Linked DNA regions of Callithrix jacchus. The protein of the gene in region 2 purifies or fractionates together with the protein of the main gene of each other region. This does not show direct contact. Links are inferred from orthologs where the notes say so. Each region holds a gene or a part of one and is shown on either strand. Other genes may lie near its edges.

What was found.
Region 1: the proteins of DDB2 (region 2) and COPS6 purify together in Homo sapiens (affinity purification with mass spectrometry; 8 studies listed by BioGRID and IntAct, counting the BioPlex papers as one, with this or other methods). This does not show direct contact. The link is inferred for Callithrix jacchus from reciprocal best matches to the Homo sapiens genes DDB2 and COPS6.

The regions. Positions count from the first base shown.
Region 1 is NC_133503.1:13,492,975-13,497,503, forward strand, and holds the start of COPS6 (COP9 signalosome complex subunit 6), read right to left. Parts: upstream 3,000-4,529; 5' UTR 2,987-2,999; coding exon 2,920-2,986; intron 2,698-2,919; coding exon 2,572-2,697; intron 2,379-2,571; coding exon 2,247-2,378; intron 1,600-2,246; coding exon 1,511-1,599; intron 1,411-1,510; coding exon 1,348-1,410; intron 1,097-1,347; coding exon 1,049-1,096; intron 961-1,048; coding exon 846-960; intron 761-845; coding exon 668-760; intron 568-667; coding exon 467-567; intron 337-466; coding exon 196-336; 3' UTR 1-195. UniProt on the Homo sapiens protein: Component of the COP9 signalosome complex (CSN), a complex involved in various cellular and developmental processes.
Region 2 is NC_133511.1:112,267,896-112,272,229, forward strand, and holds the start of DDB2 (DNA damage-binding protein 2), read left to right. Parts: upstream 1-1,362; 5' UTR 1,363-1,548; coding exon 1,549-1,675; intron 1,676-2,746; coding exon 2,747-2,883; intron 2,884-3,263; coding exon 3,264-3,455; intron 3,456-4,334.

The DNA.
Region 1 (4,529 bases), on a different chromosome or scaffold from region 2:
AGCAAGGCTGGAATGAGCTTTGACGAACATCCAAGTTGACAAACCAGTGTGGTGCCTAACAGAGAGGACAGAGCCACCGGCAGGGGTGCTCAGGGGCTATTCCCCCTTTTATTAATAAATGACAGCGGTTTCTAGTGCCCCCCCGCTTTGGGACAGTTGCCTGACCCCTGTCCATCATCCCTTCAAGTACCCGCATCAGAAAAAGAGCCCGCGCATTCGCCTGCCAATGCCTTGTCGGTCGTAGAGGACGTTGAACTTGTTCACAAACTGGTTCATGGTGTTGCACGTTTTAGTGATGGTGCCGAGGTAGGCCATGAGCCCCACATCATTGCATTGCTGGGAGGGAACATAAAGGACCAGTTCTTCAGGGGATCTCTTGTGGCATGCCCAGGGAACAACAGTCCCCAGTCCTGCATGTGAAAGTGACAGCATAAGCCCCACCTCCCCATCTGGGTTTTACACTCACATCATAAAAGTCTGTCTTGAACTTGTCTGTGCTGAGCACTGGGAGGCAATGACACAGAGCATAGGCCTCCCGCAGGATCTCATGATTAAAGGGGACCTCTCCTAAAGGCACAAAAAGAGGCTGCATTAATTTGGATGCTGTCACTTCCCCAGAAGGGAGAGGAAGAACCCCAGGGAAGTGTCAGGGAAGCCCTTGACCTACCTGCTTCAGAGGCCTTGACGTACTCCAAGATGAGCTTGACGCGGCTGTGCAGCATCTTGATGGCACTGTGCTGTGCTATCAGGTGTTCAGCCACTGCAAGGGGATGGAGACAGGAGGAGGTTGGGACAGGATGTGGCCACACATTCCACCCCCACTTCCAAGGAATCCCCTCCGTTACCGGTGGAGTTCTCTCCACTGCCTGTTGCTGTCATTCGGGCCACGTGGTCTACACCAATGCGTTCCGCTTCCTCTGTGGCCAGAGTGTAGGTCAGCTCAGCAAACAGCATTGTGGCCTACAGGGCAAGGTAACCCACAAAGGGAGAATCAAAAGCAGGAAAGAGGACAAGAGCAGGATGTGAGGGTTGAAGGGTAGGGTTTTACCTCTCCGTTGATTATATCAATGACAGACTCAAAAACGCTGACAGGAAGCTGTGGAGGAGATGGAGAAACCTGAATACTATCTGCCAACATTGGGGCTAGTCGATTTCACACATTTCCTCTCAGCTAATTTTCCCTAGAAACCAATGAAGTAGGGATTACCTCATTTCACACAGTTTGGAGATTAAATGACTAAGCCAGAGTCACAGCAGATAAGTGGCATTTGGCATTCCCCAATACACCGTCACACAACAAAAGGTACAGCAACAATTATGACACAGTAGGCATGGGATATTACTTACATCTGTGTGCTTGGTCATAGGGTTCAACTTCAGAAAGAGGGGGCTCTCAATGATCTCACACACCTGAATGAGAGGGACGATGCACAGGAAGTCAGTGCCCCCCTTTCTCCTTCCCCTCATCCCCCATTCTCTGCTTCAGCATGCACAGGTGTGAGATGTATACCTGCTTGTGGACGTGGATGTCCGAGGGGTCAGGTGGCCCCCCTGTGGTATACCAACCCAGAAATTCCAGCTCCTTGAACACCTGTTTAACTGAAGGGGAAGGGACCAAAACACATAGTAATTATTATTATTATTTTGAGACAGAGTTGTTCTGTTGCCCAGGCTGGAGTGCAGTGGCGCAATCTTGGCTCACCACGACCTCCGCTTCCCAGGTTCAAGCGATTCTCCTGCCTCGGCCTCCTGAGTAGCTGGGACTACAGATGCACATCACCACATGCGGCTAATTTTTGTATTTTTAGTAGAGATGGGGTTTCACTATGTTGGCCAGGCTAGTCTTAAACTTCTGACCTCATAATCTGCCTGTCTCGGTCTCCCAAAGTGCTAGGATTACAGGCGTGAGCCACCGTCCATGCCCAGCCTGACATAGTAATACTTTAAGCCATCTTTCCTCTGTGTGAAGCTCCTGGTGTATTTTCACCAGCTTCTCTCCCCGCTCCTCAAATCCTGGCTCAGTTTAGAGTAATTACTCCCTTCTATCCTGTCTTTTATCCTTTACTTTCTTTTTGGGAAAGAACTCTTAATGTGTTCTTTTTCTGAGATCTCTCCAGCAATTCTCTTAACCTTTTCTTCTCTGTTCTTGGCCTCCTCTCCTGTTTATTTCCAACCTTCTCCATCTTCCCCACCCTGTACTTTTTTTTTTAACTCCCACTCCTCTTCCCCACGTCTATTCCGCTCACACTGCTCTTCCTTGGTGTAATAATATTCCTTGTCAATGATAATCTTCTCTTCCACCGTGTGGGACAGCAGCTCAAAGGAGTTCATCACCTCGATATTTCGGCCCTCCTGCTTCCCAATCAGAGCCCCAATCACTAGGAAAGAGAATGACATGGAAAAGGTGAGGGTAAGGAAACTTCTATCACCTAAGGGTCTGAGGTCAGTGGGAGCCAAGTACTGGGGAAACGATGACTTGAGGGAGGGGGAACTGGCTCCAGTAAAAAAAGGGAAAGACGACTGGGGGAGGTAAGCAAGGAGAGGAGACTGGAGGCTATGCCCAACACTCACCCTGCACAGGCCGCCCCTCCTGGGAGCGCATGCGGATCCAGTGGTCTGAGATGTTGAGAATGACAAGGGGATGGAGAGCGACGGATACACTCCCAGTCACTCCGGAGGCCATCACGCTGGGGACTACTAAGGGTGGAGGGAAAGTAGAGAGGGTGAGAGTCCGGGCCCCACGTCCTTCCCTGGAGACGGCAGTGGGGGACGACGGAGCCCGGCCACACTTCCCTCCCGCAACTTATCCCAGGGAAAGATGTTGCTGTTCCGCCCTCCTCCCTTCTTCTGGGAGCACAGGGAGGCCTCAACGCACCCCTGAAGGAGGTCTCTGGAAGCCACCCCCACACAGCCCGTTACCTGCTGCATCCACCTCCATCCCGCTGCTCCCTCCGGTCCCGTTCGCAGCTGCAGCTGCCGCCGCCATTTTCCTCGCGCCCGCCGGCCTCGGCCCCGCCCCCTTCCTTCCCGGCTTCCGTAAGGTGAGAGGCGCATGTTCAGTGTCCCCGCGGCGCGCGGCGGGCCAGGAGTCCCAGGAGTAGGTAGTTCACTGGCTTGGTTGACGGTTTTCTGGCTAAGGGATCCCGACGCCCTCGCGGGTTTTCGCAGACCTTGTCCCCTCCTGACGCCTGCGGGTAACGTTTGACAAATTACTTAACGGCTTGATAGTCCTCATCTGTAAAATTGAGATAAGAATGCCTAGTTCTTTTTTTTTTTTTTTTTTTGAGACGGAGTCTCACTCTGTTGCCCAGGCTGGAATGCAGTGGCGCGATCTCAGCTCACTGCAACCTCCGCCTGCCGGGTTCAAGCAGTTCTCCTGTCTTAGCCTCGCTAGTAGCTGGGACTACAGGCGCACACCACCACGTCTGGCTAATCTTTGGTATTTTTAGTAGAGACTGGGTTTCACCGTGTTAGCCAGGATGGCCTCTCTCTCGTGACCTCGTGATCCCCGCCTCGGCCTCCCAAAGTGCTGAGATTACAGGCGTGAGCCACCGGGCTTAGCCAAAAACGCTTAGTTCTTAAGGCTGTTGCAGAATGAATGAAATGTCGTGTTACTGCCCTCACAGTAAAATCCAAACAACCGACCACACTCTGCAAGGCCCTGCCTGAACTGCCCTGGCCTGACCTCTACTTTTCTAGCCCTTGATATTCACGCTTCAGCGGCACTGGCCCTCATGTCTGGTTTTGTTGTTTGTTTGAGACAGGATCTCACTCCATCTTCCAGGCCGGAGTGCAATGGTCTCATCTCAGCTCATTGCAGCCTCAGACTCCTGGGCTCAAGTGATCCTCCCACCTCAGCCTCCCAAGTAGTTCGGACTACAGGTGCGCCCCACCACACCCAGCTGATTTTATTATTATTTATTTATTTATTTTGAGACGGAGTTTCACTGTTACCCAGACTGAAGTGCAATGGCACAGTCTCGGCCCACCACAACCTCCGCCTCCTGGGTTCAGGCAATTCTCCTGCCTCAGCCTCCTGAGGTACTCCTGAGTACCTGGGATTACAGGCACGCGCCACCATGCCCAGCTAATTTTTAAAGTATTTTTAGTAGAGACGGGGTTTCACCATGTTGACCAGGATGGTCTCGATCTCTTGACCTCCTGATCCACCCACCTCGGCCTCCCAAAGTGCTGGGATTACAAGCTTGAGCCACTGCGCCCGGCCGTGTTTTTAGTAGAGATGTTTCACCTTGTTGACCAGCATGGTCTCGATCTCTTGACCTCGTGATCCACCTGCCTCGGCCTCCCAAAGTGCTGGGATTATAGGCATGAGCCACCGTGCCCGGCCTATTTTTTAATTTTGGTCAGAGACGGGGGTCTCGCTAGGTTGTGCAGGCTGGCCCCCAGTTCCCGGGCACAAGCAATCCTCCATCCTCGGCCTCCTAAAACACTGAGATTATAGGCGTGAGCCACCACACCCACTCTCTATGTCTGTTTTTCACATTCCTCACTCTTCCATTCAAGGGCCT
Region 2 (4,334 bases):
ACCATTAATGAGTTTTTGTATATCTCCTTCCACCCCCACAAACTGTCAGGCATGGGGCTTAGTGGGTGGAGGAAAGGCCCAGCAGTATCTGAGTAAGCCCAATCCCTCCCTGCCTCTTCGCGGAAACTAGGGTGCATCCAAACTGCCTCTTCTCAGGCTAGGCAGGACAGCGTGGACTCATCTCTGAACCTTCATGCCTTGGCCTTTGGCTGAAGCCAGGCATAAAAGTTCTAAATCCCACTGGCTCATCACTGTCTCAGGCTGCTCCTAGGTGGACATTCAACAGGTTAGGCAAATCTTAATTAAGATCAGTAAGGAGGCTGGGCATGGTGGCTCACAACTGTAATCTCAGCACTTTGGCAGACTGAGGTGGATGGATACTAGGGGTTCTAGACCAGACTAGGCAACATAGGGAGACCCTGTCTCTAGAAAAAATGCAAAAATTAACCGGGTGTGGTGGTGCGTGCCTATAGTCCTAGCTACTTAGGAGGCTGAGATGGGAAGGATCAATGCCCAGGAGGTCATGGCTGCAGTGAGCCCAGATCCTGCCGCTGCACTCCAGCTTGGGTGACAGAGAAACTCTTGAAACAAAACAAAACAAGTCAACCACCAAACAAACAAAAAAGCACTGAGGGCCAGACAAGGTGACTCATGCCTGTAATCCCAGCACTTTGGGAGGCTGAGGCCAGAGGATCACTTGAGCCCAGGAGGTCCAGACCAACGTGAGAAACATAGCAAGACTCTGTTTCTACAAAAATAAAAATAAAAAAATTAGGCTTGGAAACACAGGTCTGCAGTTACGTGGGAGGCTGAGGTGGGAGCATCAGTGAAGCTTGAGGTCAAGGCTGCAGTGAGCTGTGATCGCATCACTGTACTCCAGCCTGGGTAACAGAGAGAGACCCTGTCTCCAGAAAGGAAAAAAAAAAAAGGCAAAAGTAAAGGATTTTCAATCAATCTTCCTCATTCTCCCTTCACAGAGAAGCAGCTTGGATTGGATGGGACTGTAGGATCTAGAATATGACTGCAGGGCCGGGCACGGTGGCACACGCCTGTAGTCCCGTCTACTTAGGAGGCTGAGGTGGGAGGATCGGTTGAGCCTAGGAGGCGGAGTCTGCACTGAGCTATGATCGAGCCACTACACTCCAGGCTGGGCGACAGAGCCAGATCCCATCGCTAAAATAAAATAAATAAATAAATAAATAAATAAAGCCGGGGGCCATCTTTGCTCCGGGCAGGTCAGCTGACCCGGGCTGGCACAGATCCTGGCGCAGTTCCTGCCCCTCCCGGGAGGGCTGACCCCGCCCCTCTTCCTCGCCCTCTCCCCGCGCCCCCGCCTCCCAGGAAGGGGCGGATCCCCGAGACGGGTGGGGCCGGAGCTCCAAGCTGGTTTGAACAAGCCTTGGGCATGTTTGGCGGGAAGTCGGCTTAGCTCGGCTACCTATGGCCCCAGAGTTTTGTAGTCCCCGCCTTGTTTCTCCCCAGAGGCCTCTCAATCCTCCCTCCATGATCTTCGCATAGAGCACAGTACCCTCTCGCACGGAGGACGAGATGGCTCCCAAGAAACGCCCAGAAACCCAGAAGACCTCCAAGATTGTATTACGCCCCAGGAGCAAGAGGAGCAGGAGTCCCCGGGAGCTGGAGCCCGAGGCCAAGAAGCTCTGTGCGAAGGGCTCCGGTACTGCCTGTGCCTGCTGCTTGAATATTTCCGCCTTTTGGGGTGCTCGCTCAGGAGGCTGCAGCGGGGGATGGGTGCTCCGAGGCTCCCTAGGCCGGCCCAGGTCACGGATGCCTCGGGCTGTGCATTCTACCTGCAGGTCCTTTGACACAAGAAAGTTTAGGCTTCAACACCTGTCCCGCTAGGTGACAGGAAGCAGATGAGCTCCGTAACAACAGATACACGGACTTGTCAGGTTCCTTGTTTATAGCAGGGTTCTTACACGGTTAGGACGGCTTCGGAGAATCCTACCTTTCCTGGCTGTGTGTGTGCTGGATTTCATAGTCACGCTTGTTAGCTGCGCGTCCTAGGTGGTCAGCTGTGAGAGCCCCCAGTCTCTTCCCTCCTTAGAAAGCTCATTCTCTGAGGTTTACTGGGGCTTGAACCTGGGGCTATAAGGAGTTTCGAGACACTCAAAAGACGGGAGTCGGGGCTTTTTAAGTGGTTTTTGTCTATGAGAAGAAAAGAATTGGTTGTTAAGTGGTCAGACCTATAGAGATTGGGTCCTCAAATACAGTTCGGTGATCTGGCGCTGTTGCTTTAATTCCTATTCTAATTTCATTTACCTCCCCAGAAGTAACCTATTTAGCATTTCCAGGCTTTTCTATTCCTTCTTTTCCTAAACAGTGACTTCTGCCATGCTGCCCTGAAATCTTTTTAATCATGCATTATATGTGATTTATAAAATTGTGACTTAGTCCCATCTCGAGTTTTGCAGCCCAAACTGGGAAGAGTTCTTCAGTGTGCTTTATTCTTGTGTGTTTCTGTGACTGGGGTCTCAGGAACCCTGCACAATCTATTTAGTTTCACTTCAGACTTACTGTTTGAGGGAGTGTATTGAGGGAGAGACCAAATCCTCACTAATTTTTTAATTTCTGGTGCTGGGTGAGACCACGTAGACAAGGAAAAGCCTTAGGAGGTGATAAGATGGAGATTAGCCATGCTGAATGAAACAAGGCTTCCTTTTGGGGATTTCAGCAGAAAACCCTTTCGTGAGATTGGAGAGGAAAATATGTCTGTTCTGCTTGGCAGGTCCTAGCAGAAGATGTGACTCAGACTGCCTCTGGGCGGGGCTGGCTGGCCCACAGATCCTGCCACCATGCCGCAGCATTGTCAGGACCCTCCACCAGCATAAGCTGGGCAGAGCTTCCTGGCCATCTGTCCAGCAGGTAAGGCATTTTCTTCCTCAAGCCTTCAAGGATTTGTATGTGCATTTTTACTATTGCATGCTCCCAAGTTAGATGATGACTTGGTTCACCAGCTTGTCAGAGTGGTCCGATCACCCAGACTGGTGACTGGCCTACTGGGCACTCAGCCAGGTAAGAAAGTCTTACGTCGTAAAGGTCCAGCTGGAATGTACTCTGCCCCTGTTGCTTTCCAAGATGATTAGTTTGTGTACATTGCAAATATTTTCATGTACAGGGCAGGCAGTTAGCTTTCCTTTGGTGAGAGGACTTGGCTGTGGGGCTCATCTATGAAGGAGGCAGAGATTGGCATTTACCCAGGACTTGAGTTTTAATTCAACCTAATTCATTTCTTTCTGTGACAGGGGCTCCAGCAGTCCTTTTTGCACACTCTGGATTCTTACCGGATATTACAAAAAGCCGCCCCCTTTGACAGGAGGGCTACATCCTTGGCATGGCACCCGACTCACCCCAGCACCGTGGCTGTGGGTTCCAAAGGGGGAGATATCTTGCTCTGGAATTTTGGCATCAAGGACAAACCCACCTTCATCAAAGGGGTGAGCAATTCCCTGTGCCAGGTAGTGCTAAAGACGTGTTTGTTGGCCGGGTGCAGTGGCTCACGCCTGTTATCCCAGCACTTTGGGAGGCTGAGGCAGGCGGATCACCTGAGCTCTGGAGTTTGAGACCAGCCTGGCCAACATGGTGAAACCCCATCTCTATTAAAAATATGAAAATTAGCTGGGCGTAGTGGCAGGCGCCTGTAATCCCAGCTACTCCAGAGGCTGAGGCAGGAGAATTGCTTGAACCCAGGAGGCAGAGGTTGCAGTGAGCCGAGATCTTGCCATTGCAGTCTAGCCTGGGCAACAAGAGCAAAACTTCATCTGAAAAAAAATAATTATAATAAAATAAAGATAAGGAGTGTTTGTTGAAGGAATGAAAGGGATACTGATGTCATCTAGTAATTGTCAGGAAGAGAACTGGGATCAAAAGTAACTGTGGGCATTTTCAAATACGTAAATGGTGATGATACTCATATATTTTTCTAATGTCTGCCCTTACAATATTAAAAGGTATAGACTATTGATCATCCATAGAATTGAAGCCCCTTCTGGGCCGGGCGTGTTGGCTCACTCCTATAATCCTAGCACTTTGGGAGGCTGAGGTGGGTGGATCATGAGGTTAGGAGATGGAGACCATCCTGGCCAAAGTAGTGAAACCTGGTCTCTATTAAAAACACAAAAAATTAGCTGGGTGTGGTGGCGCACACCTGTAGTCCCAGCTACTCAGGAGGCTGAGGCAGGAGAATCTCTTGAACCCAGGAGATGGAGGTTGCAGTGAGCTGAGATCATGCCACTGCACTCCAGACTGGGCGACAGAGTGAGACTCCGTCTCAAAAAAAAAAAAAAAAAGAGAAAAGAGAATAAGAACTGAAGCCC